Caenorhabditis elegans: one gene and its partner. The protein of the gene in region 1 purifies or fractionates together with the protein of each later gene. This does not show direct contact. Each region holds a gene or a part of one and is shown on either strand. Other genes may lie near its edges. The genes, in order: ceh-32 and gmn-1.

Region 1 (6,076 bases):
TACAAACACAAAAACACATAAAACTAAAGATCCCTTTACGCTCCATTCTCAAACTAAAGAGTCAGCCATCAACACAAATTTGTTGGATGACTGCGTCTGCTCCTACACGTCCATCCATCCTATATGTAAAAGGCAACCAGGTATTGGCAGATATTGGATACTGGAAGAGTCTCTCCCAGTCGACAAAGAGCTTTTCCTCTCTATACACAAAACCACTCACTCAGTTTAATGAGCGTGTAATTCGACATCAAACCAATAAGCGATATGGATGTGCTCGAATAACTCATGATGCGATGAGGTTATGACGTGGAAATGACTACGGTAGAATATACTGAAATTGATACCAAAAACTTGTGTTCAGGCTCTAAATTACCAGAGACCAATGAACTGTGCATCGCAAACACTTGTAAGGAGACATGAGTGCAGGTACACACAAAACCAGAACTATGAGCTGAGTTGACACCCAATACAAGAGGATACTATCATGAGATTGCTTCGAGTACTATTCAACCACTGCTACCACCTTATTACGTAATAGACATACAGTATCATAATTACTATGAACCCAGTAAAGGATACACAGTAACATCTAAATATATTCATTCTAGTACTTGTTCAGCCCAACAAAAAATGTTTTAAAGATCGACGACGAACATATTTATATTTTGGGTCAATCACTTTTTCCTAGAAAGAAACTATATAATACAAAGTATTTGGTATTTTGCAGATTCGCATTACTTCGGAATGTTCTTTTGTGTTTATTAATTCACAGATACAGTAGTCAAAAAATCCAGATATTATATATTGAATACTATTTATTAGATCTGAGTTTTTGGAAATAATGATCATAGATAATTATTTCTTAAATATTTGAACGAATGAATGAAAAAAAAATAATACATTTGGGTAAGAAGGGTCTAGCAGATGAATGCTCAAACGCCGCTAAAGCTATTTTTAGAGGGAATGCATCAAAGCGGTGTAGCAATCATCTGAAGATTGTGGACAAAAAAGAATAGAAGAAATCAGAATTTGAGGTTCAAAGTGAGTGGCAAATGCGGGAGGAAGTGAAGAAGGAAAAGCTCAAAAAAGTACAACTAAGTATGAAAATATGGTACCGGATTTGAGACGAACATTGGACTGAAAAGATGGGAACGTTTGTGAGTTTGTTCTTTGACATGAACGTTTCTGAACTGAGATTTGATTGTTTTCCGGAATCAAGAAAAATTGGAAAACGTTCCATGCGAGGAAAATAATAATAAAAAGTTTCAAAAAGTGTATATATAACTACAAAAATAATTACAATTTTCTAGGAAGAGTTACTCAGATTGAGATGTCGTTGACTTTGGTGATGAATGTTTTGGATCTTCTGATGTTTCACTCTTCACACTTCGAGAATCTTCTTCAGCAGCCTCATCATCCTCTTTTTTCACTTCTTCTGTCTTTACCGCTCGCTTTGGAGAAAGTGATTCATTGGAGCAGGGTGAGCATTGTGAAGGGGACACTTCTGATTTGATATTCAAAATCTCATCAATACTCAATTTTGATCGTTTCTTCGGTGGCTCAATATCAGCTTCAACTTCAACCGTTGTCTCGCTATTTTCTTCTTCGTCAATTTGTGGGTTCCTCATTGTGTTGAAAAAGTTGTGGAATTGCATGTAGAGAGCTGGATTCAAGTTCAACATCATCAATGGATTTGCTGCAGCTGCGAACATATCGAATGGAGTCGCCATTTTAGGTAAGAGTGTTGGTGAGAGCTTTGGAATATGACTTTTGCTGAGATCTTTCGGTTCATCAATTGGGCTTGGAGAATCAGTCATTGAATCCTCAAAATCATCATCTGAATCTGACATGTCGGACGATGTTTTCTTCAATTCCACTCCGATGATGTTTTGCCTGAAAAAGAAGAAAATAAAACTGAAATGCATAGGGGGTAATTATTCTCCTATTTCGAGATTATGGAAGAGAAGAGACAGATTACATTCGGATCATAAGGTCGAGAAAAAGGAAATTGAGAAGAAGACACTTCCTGATCCGTTTTTAATTGTCTTCAAACTTCTACCATTACTACAACAACTACTATTATGAATTCTCAAAAATTGAAAATCAACAGGGAAGGCAGTGCCGCAGTCTCATATTATTTAAAGCCACAAAAGTGAGAGATTGACTCAAACAACGGCAGAAATCAATTTCGATCCAACTCACTTATTTTTTGCAGCTGCTGCCCGATCTCGTTGCCTCCTGTTTTTAAACCAATTTCCAACTTGCATCTGTGTGAGACCTGTTGCATTTGCGAGTTCCTTCTTTTTTGGTGGATTTGGATATGGATCCTTGAGATACCATTCTCTCAAAAGTGATCTTGTTCTCTCCTTGAAGCAATGTGTCTTTTGCTCTCCATCCCAGATTGTTCTTGGCATTGGGTACTTCTTGCGAACACGATATTTGTCGACTGCACAAAGAGATCTGAAAATTTTGAGGATTCAATACAATAGGAGATAATCCTCTGAATGTTTTAAAACACGTCTTGCCTTGTCGGAAGAGGAGTCAAACAAATTATCCGATTAACAGTACTGTGTATGCCGCACATATGGTACATGAACACTAGCTCTTCAGCTCTAAAGCCGGTAGTATGTGAACACAAAAATCAACGCCAATCAGCTAATTAGAGGGCGCATCTTTTTGCGTCGACAAGACGACATACGGCATGCGAGAAGGCTCTAAAAGCCATCTCCTATCCCTTCTTTCTTGAAGGTGTCAAATTTGTAAATGCCGGGTTTGTTCAGGGGGCGACCCGGTGGACGATTAGCACGCATTTACCGTTTCTACATGAGGACAAAATGTAGCTAATTTTGAAGAGATGGAATACTTTGAAACGAATAAAATTAATGGTGAAGGTATTCAGATCAGGAATTTTGGTCATGAATCTTTCGATACTTGAAGACAGAAAACGAAAGGATCGGGATATCCGTATAAAGAAAACAATTTTTTTAAAGGTTTTAACTTATATTTTGGAATATATAGTCAAATCTATCAGTTCTAATTCTTTGAAGATTTTCCTTTTCAAACATTTCCTACTGTTCTAGTTTTTATTCTCCAATGCTCTTGACAAAAGTATCTGTCTATCTATCAGTCCTATCAGTGTAACAGTGTGTTGAAGAAAAGCGAGAAAGACCCTTGGCGTCTTGCTTCAAAGCAAATATTGTCCGACAAGATTGAAAGCAAAAGGAGCCGGCTCCTTTCTTCTTCTCTCACACTCACATACAATAGCGCCGTGATGCTACTATCCTACCGTAGACTCTAACACTAATGATAGCTTTCAAAGACAATGAGATGAGTACCTTTTGGGAAAAAAAACTTTTCACTCACTTTCCACGATTCTTCTCCTGTTCACGGTAGTGAGCTTCATGCCACATTTCCTGAAGCTTCGGATGGTATTTTGGAGAGAATTTGTTGTTTTCCAAAATGGCGTAGAGCTCGCGGAAGTGACTTGCATGGAAGCAGACGAGGGCTCGGGCTCTAAGAAAGGCTTCATTTCCAGCAACCTATAAATTTTCAGATGATTTTAAAAGTTCCGATCATCAGAGAGTTTTACCTCTTGAGTTTTTTGTGGAGGGATTGTGCACATGAATCGGAAAAGTCCATCGACATCTCCATCAGTTTCAAGTTGCTCACATGTCTTCACAATCTAAAAAATTGATATTTAAACAAAAGAGATGGATGATCAGATGAATGATGGCTCATACTTTTCATCATAAAACATTTACTTTTCAATCATTTTGTGTAAGAAAACTAAATGGAATTTAGGTTTGCACTTTGTGTTGCAGAAGGCGAGAAAAGAGGAGACAAAAAGCAATAAAATTATGAGAAGACAAGGAGCATGATTGGATTGAAAGTAAGAGAAGAACGGAAGTAAGAAGAAAGGGAGAAGAGGAAAAGATACGTTTCAAATTTGATCAAATTTTCCGTTTTTCTTTCTTTTTCAACACATCTTATGTTTTATGCTCAACATCACTTATCTTCTTTTCTATTTCTTTTTTCATTCTACAACATTCGTTTTTAAGTGAACCCTATTGCGGTATTCTTCTTTGATGGCTCATCAGTACCCCTAATGACACATTTATTTGACGCTAGCGCCATGATGATGGCACTATGCATGATAATTTCTTACAACTAATCAAACAATACTAATAATACTAACCTGGTCAGCAGTCAAGTTCGAGGTAGTCGGTGATGATGGAGCAGCTAACGATGGAATAACTGAAGGCATTGCAGGGAACAGTGATGGAGTGGAGGATGCTCCATTGGCTTGAAGTGCTTGAAGCATTGCAACGTTCCCGGGTTGGAACATTTGTCCCAACTGGGAAAAGTTACCCAGTTGGGACATCACTTTTGTGAACTGTTCTGGAGTGAACATGTTCGCAAAGGATGAATGGGGATCAGACTGAAATTGAAAACAATTAAAAGTTTTAGATTGTGAGTTGAAAGTAGAAATCAAAAAGATAGGATCGGATCAAAATTTGAGGAGTTGAGTAAGAATGTATCGGTGTGGTTGAATGTATGTATGCGCTTGTCGGTCGCAACGAATCTTTCTAATGATACGGGGGCGGAGTCATGAAGGACGCGCGGGTTGGTTGGTGGCTAACCCCCCATCCACTGAAACCACGCCCACATCGGAAAGGAAGATGCGGGTAACGGGAGACGATACTGCTGGGGCGTGCTTGTCCCTTGGGTAGTGTGGTTGGGTAAGTGAGTATCATTAGGAAGCTTTTGTTTAACTGCGAAACTAATCAGTGGGGGACAGAGAATAGATGAAGTTGTCGATGATGTTGGTGGAGATCAGTCGGGGGACGAAAAGTCTCCGCAATGAATATATTTGTACAATTAGAAAGTGAGGTCTTCTGGAAATCGAAAGTTTTTGTTAACAGTGGTAGTTTCTCACTTATTTTGGTGGTTTTGTGTAGTGAGGAGGATATATTGTGTCCTAGATTTTAAGTCAAAGAGTTATCTAGATCAATATCCAGATCATCATGATTTAGAGGTTATTTTTAAGATCCTAGAATAACCGTATGTTTCGAACACACGAACTCGTTCTTCATTTAGTGTGCAAGATGTTTCAGGTGCAAATTCTAAAATTGTTATGACACATATCTCAATTTTAGAAAATTCTGTCAAACGAATATATGTACGAACCATATCGATTCCCTTTTGTCTTCATATTTTCTTAACCGGAGGTTATAACGCATGCCTCCCCCCATTCGCACCTTCCTTACTGACATTGTCACTTTCAGCCAAATCTTCTCCCCCTTTCTATGGCCACGTGTTCTTCAACTCATCGTCTCCTTTTTCCTAAATACTACTTCTACCGTACTTCTTTGTATGGCATTGATGAACGAAAAAAAACAAGTACTCCTTTTCCTTCTCTGTCTCGAGGCGCCAGGCCCCATCTCGATGGATGATTTGAAAGTGGTCTCTCTTTTTTCGCTAATGGCATTTATTTAGTGTTTCTTCTATCTCGCCCGCCACTTCTTCGTTTACCATCGCTCCTCACACGCCGACCCATTGCCATTAGTTGTTTTCAGTCAATTTCGGACCCTATAAGTGGCAATGACAGCTCGCTTGAGTGATTAATTGATTAGTGTAGCAATTGGAGAAGAGTCAAAAGACTATGATGAAAACTATTAAGGGGGTTAGAGACTTTATATATTTTAGAATTTGAAGCCCAGAAATAATGCATTAAATGAATAATAAATAATGTTTTACAGTCAACTATGTTGCTTATATTCATGTACCAAATTTAGCACAGGTGGAACATTTCATGGCTTCAAGTTAAATGAAAGGCCAATAACAGTTCAAGTCTGTTATATCTACCAAGTTTCAATGAGCACAAATATTTAGAGTGCATCTTTAGTTTTAGAAATCATGGATCAGAACCCTCACGGAAATTTATAGGTTAATATATTTCACTCAGGATTTCCACTTATACCAATCAGTTAAAAAACTATGAAGATACAAATAATTAAACTTTTTATTGGAATGTAATACAAGATACATTATGATATATCAATAGAAAGTCATGAAG
Region 2 (4,228 bases), on another chromosome or scaffold:
TTTACGAGAGATTTTTTTTCAGTTTTTTAGCGTTTTTCCTACATTTTTGAGTTCTGAGCTCAATAAATGTTAAATTGACACAAAAAAAATTTTCAGAAAAAAAACCTACAAAAAATCGACAAAAATTAAGGAAACACGCACGAAATAAATTTTAAAAAACGGAAAGCTCCCGTAAATCGTCACGAAGCAAGCGCGCTCCAATGAGAATATCTGTGAGCGCGCATTTGAAAAAAATGATTCGGGCGCGATTTCAAGGTGAAATATAAAATCAGGGAAATTTGTTCGAATTTTTTCACATAGATATTCGGAATCAGGGGAAAATTTGGAGTCATTCAAGAGCATTTTAACAGTTTTTTCACCAATTTTTCAATTAAATTTTCGATTTTTCAATAAAAAATTGAATTTTTCAGGGAATGTACTTCGTTTCGAGCGTCCTATTAATGCGTATGAACGTGCCCGAGGAGTATCGAACGATTCTGACGAGAATTCTCGGCGATTTGAAATTCAACTTCTACCATCGCTGGTTCGACGTGATTTTCCTAATATCCGCCGTCTCTTCTATTGTTTTCTTGACACTTATTCACAAATCCGGTTCTTCAATGTTTAGGGCATAATTATTTGTTTTTGTGGTTTTGTTGCTGGTATTTAAATTATTTTAAACTTCGGGTCGCATAGAATTTGAAATTCATTTGATAAAAAAACATTTTAAAATTGAATTGCGTTGAAATTTGGTAAAACTCGTAAAAGGAATGAAGTAAATACACAAGATATATATAAACACGAGGTAGCACGCTCCCCTCGAAGCCGAATAATTATTCGAGCGCGCTTGCTACGCTTCGCGTTTCAGCGTCGGCTGAGTTTTGCTTTTCCACTGAAAATAGCAGATTTATCGAATTTTTAGCTTAAAATTTTTTTTCGGCTTTTTACGAACCAACCTTTTGTTAAACGGTGAAAATCAAATTTAAAATGACTAAAATGAACTTTTTTCGTCCACTGGTTGTGAAATGGTTTGAATTTGAAGACATCAGCGGGATTTTTCGTATTTTCTGAATATTTTTCGATTAGAATTCGGTTTTAAACTATTTTTGACTCTAACGTTAGGTTACAAGTGCATTAAAACCGATTTTTAATTGAAAAATATTTAGAAAATAAGAAAAATCCCGTTGATGTCGTCAAATTCAAACCATTTTACAGCCAGTGAACGAAAAAAGTTCATTTTAGTCATTTTAAATTCGATTTTCACTGTTTAACAAAAGGTTGGTTCGTAAAAAGCCGAAAAAAAATTTTAAGCTAAAAATTCGATAAATCTGCTATTTTCAATGAAAAGGCAAAACACCGCGGGCACAGAAACGCGAATCGTAGCAAGCGCGCTCTAATAATTATTCGGCTTTGAGGAGAGCGTGGATAGTAATTTAAAGTTGCGCGGTGCCAATCTCCTCATCCGTCTGTTGCTCCTCGTCAATGTCGGCGAGCACTTCGAGAAGAATCTCCGTGTCATCGTCGATTTTTCGCATTTTTTCGTCGAGATCTCCGAGTTCGGCGACGAGACGCTGATTTCTGTCCATTTCATCGTCCAGATCCATTTGCAGACGGTCAGCCATCACGCGAAGATAGTTTACAGTTGGTTTTTCAGATGTTAGATCGGCTTCTGTGATTTTTGGTTGAACGTGTGGGACGTTGATGATCGTTTGCGTGGACACTGTGCCGTACTGCAATTTTTTTGATTTTTTTAAAATAAAATTTCAAAGTTTTAATAAATATCTATTATACCAGCTGCTTTCTCGTGTTCTGATGAATTAGCGATAATATACAAAGCATTGTAGATATATTTATGCCGATAAATCTTTTTAATCATCATTTCATACCTCAAACATCTGCGTCTCCACGTTTTTTGCCTCTTGATCATCATCACAGAACACGTCGAATGGAGATAAAACCGGTGTGATTGTGGTGGCAGAAGCCAGCGGGGACGGTGTGATTGGCTGATATTTCTTGAGTTGGGCGGTGAGCTTCAGCGGTTCTGGAATTTGCTTGGTGCCGGTGGCCTTCTCGGAGCCAAATGGACTGTTGCGTGCCGAGTTGTTGAGCTGTTGAAGGCCGATTCTGCTCATCTGAAATTTTTTTTGTTGAAAATTACACAAAAATAAGCAGAAAAAATTGAAATTGCGGCGAAAAATGGTGAAAATTTGAGTTCAAAATTCAAAAAAATAGATTTACGCGGGCCCCTAGGCCCGTAGGGTCTCGCCACGAAGCACGAGAAATTAAATTTCGAACCCTGCGCCTTTAAATTTACCGTACCCCAAAAATCGATTTTTCGGTGCAATTTGGAGAAATTAAATGAAAAAATACAAAAAAAAGAAGAAATAACCAGCTCTGATGATAAAAACAGAGAAATTAAATGAAAAAAAGACATCGACAAGGAGCAAAAATGCATTTTATACAGAAAAATAAGTATTTTTATAGCAAAATTAGAAGAATCCGGATTAATCCGAATTATTTACAGGTGCTCGTGTCGGGTTCTTCTTCGGAATCGCCGTTTTCACTTGATTTTTTCAATTTTTCGTTTCCCAAATCGAAGAGTCGCGTGTATTCAGTCTGTTTCGCGTCGAGCATCTCCGATTTTCGACTTTTCTCCACTTCCATCTGCAAAATCAATCGATAACTGTATATTAATATATCGCGTTGGAAAAAAATAAAACCTTCTCATTCAACGCTTTAATTCGATCCACTTCATTCTGTCGATTTGCAACAATTGACTCCCAATACGACATTTCTGGATTTTCCGTGTTTTTTCGATATTTTGTAATCGATTCCTCTGCTGTCTGTGTTGTCATATTTTCTACAGCAATCTAAAATAAATATTTTTCAATTTTTTTTTTTTTTTTGAAAAAAACTTACCTCTTCAGTCTGACATCCGACTTCTGGGGATAAATTGTTGGTTGTTGGCTCCCCGAGCACTACAAAATCACTCATCTCGAGAAAAATCGATAAAAACTGGCTAGAAATTGGTGAAAATGGTGTTGAGAGACAGGTGTTAGATTCGAAACACCCGCCATTGGTGAAGTGCGGTGGAGCGCGAGTGCGCCGCGTGACGTCACGGCTCCGTTGAAATGCAATTACATGCAATATTATAGAGATTTTCGAATAATATAAGAAATTATTGTTAGTTTCTGAATGAAATCTGACCAATAAATGATTAATTACAACATTTTTACAATATATCGTATATTTTGTATTTTAAATTGCTCTTTAAAAAATCGATCGATACACCATAACTTTATTTTACTAGAATAGTATATAAAATTCACTTTTTTTCCATTTTAATGCCAACTTCCTCCCCCAACCAACCCCAAAATCGTTAAAAAAATCGTATTTTTCATTCACAAATGTAGTTAATTTTAAGATTTACAGAACTAATATTCTATGAGCGGAACAGGATTGTTCAAAATGGTGTTGCAACACCAATTTGACGGCCTACTCGAAGTGATGCCTGGTTTGTAATTTTTTTTTCTTAAGAAATTTGAAAAATATCTCGATTTTCCAAAAATTTTCTCTTTTTTACACAAAATTTGTCGAAAAAGATTGAAAGTAATACAATTTCGTGATTTTTGCGCCAAAACTACGGTGCCCGGTCTCGACACGACAATTTTTAGTTAAATTGAACAAGGTGTGCGCCTTTAAGGAGTACTGTAGTTTTAAACTTTCGTTGCTGCGGGATTTTCGATTTTTTTCAATTTCAAGTAAATTTAAATTAAAAATTTTTTATTTAAACAAACTTTAAAAAAAATCGGATTTCTGGCTTCCCTCCATAAATTGAAATGGAAGAGTTTTTTGCCGAACTAGGCCAGGCCATATCTGGGGTAGATTTACGGCGCGTTGCGTGTCGCATCGCGGCTCGATTATAGTCCGTGAGGAGTACACGACACTTTTCCACGCGAAAAATTCAATGAGGAAGGCCTGAACCCCGTATTAAATTACAGTAACCTTTAAAGGCGCATACCTTTTCCATAAAACAAAAATTTGTCGTGGCGAGACCTGGTACAGTAATTTTTGCGCAAAAAAATCCCCAAAATTCCAGAAAATCCCCGCAAAAAACTTCGATTCACTTCTCGGCATATCGCTGCTGTCAATCGATATCTAGATGACAAATATTTTGATCCAAAGGAAGAAAAATGGTCAAATCTTCATCCCAAATATCGAATAGTTTTGGAGAACTTGATCCGCCAAA

What was found.
Region 2: the proteins of ceh-32 (region 1) and gmn-1 purify together in Caenorhabditis elegans (affinity purification with western blotting, with the first as the bait; one study listed by BioGRID). This does not show direct contact.

What each region holds. Positions count from the first base shown.
Region 1 is NC_003283.11:11,700,963-11,707,038, forward strand, and holds ceh-32 (Homeobox protein ceh-32), read right to left. Parts: upstream 4,439-6,076; 5' UTR 4,412-4,438; coding exon 4,196-4,411; intron 3,940-4,195; exon of another isoform or gene 3,803-3,939; intron 3,683-3,802; coding exon 3,590-3,682; intron 3,540-3,589; coding exon 3,364-3,539; intron 2,461-3,363; coding exon 2,203-2,460; intron 1,894-2,202; coding exon 1,317-1,893; 3' UTR 802-1,316; downstream 1-801. UniProt on the Caenorhabditis elegans protein: Transcription factor which binds a motif with the core sequence 5'-GTATCA-3'. Plays a role in head morphogenesis. Involved in embryonic development. Required for cell specification of the RIA interneurons.
Region 2 is NC_003281.10:12,223,221-12,227,448, forward strand, and holds gmn-1 (Geminin homolog), read right to left. Parts: upstream 2,112-4,228; coding exon 1,866-2,111; intron 1,710-1,865; coding exon 1,413-1,709; 3' UTR 668-1,412; downstream 1-667. Other genes in the region: gphr-1 (Golgi pH regulator), read left to right, coding at 411-614; Y75B8A.18 (Clathrin light chain), read right to left, coding at 2,494-2,643, 2,700-2,849, 2,899-2,973; Y75B8A.19 (RING-type E3 ubiquitin transferase), read left to right, coding at 3,448-3,493, 4,079-4,228. UniProt on the Caenorhabditis elegans protein: Inhibits DNA replication by binding to the DNA replication licensing factor cdt-1. Its interaction with cdt-1 prevents the cdt-1 loading of the mini-chromosome maintenance (MCM) complex onto DNA and therefore DNA replication licencing.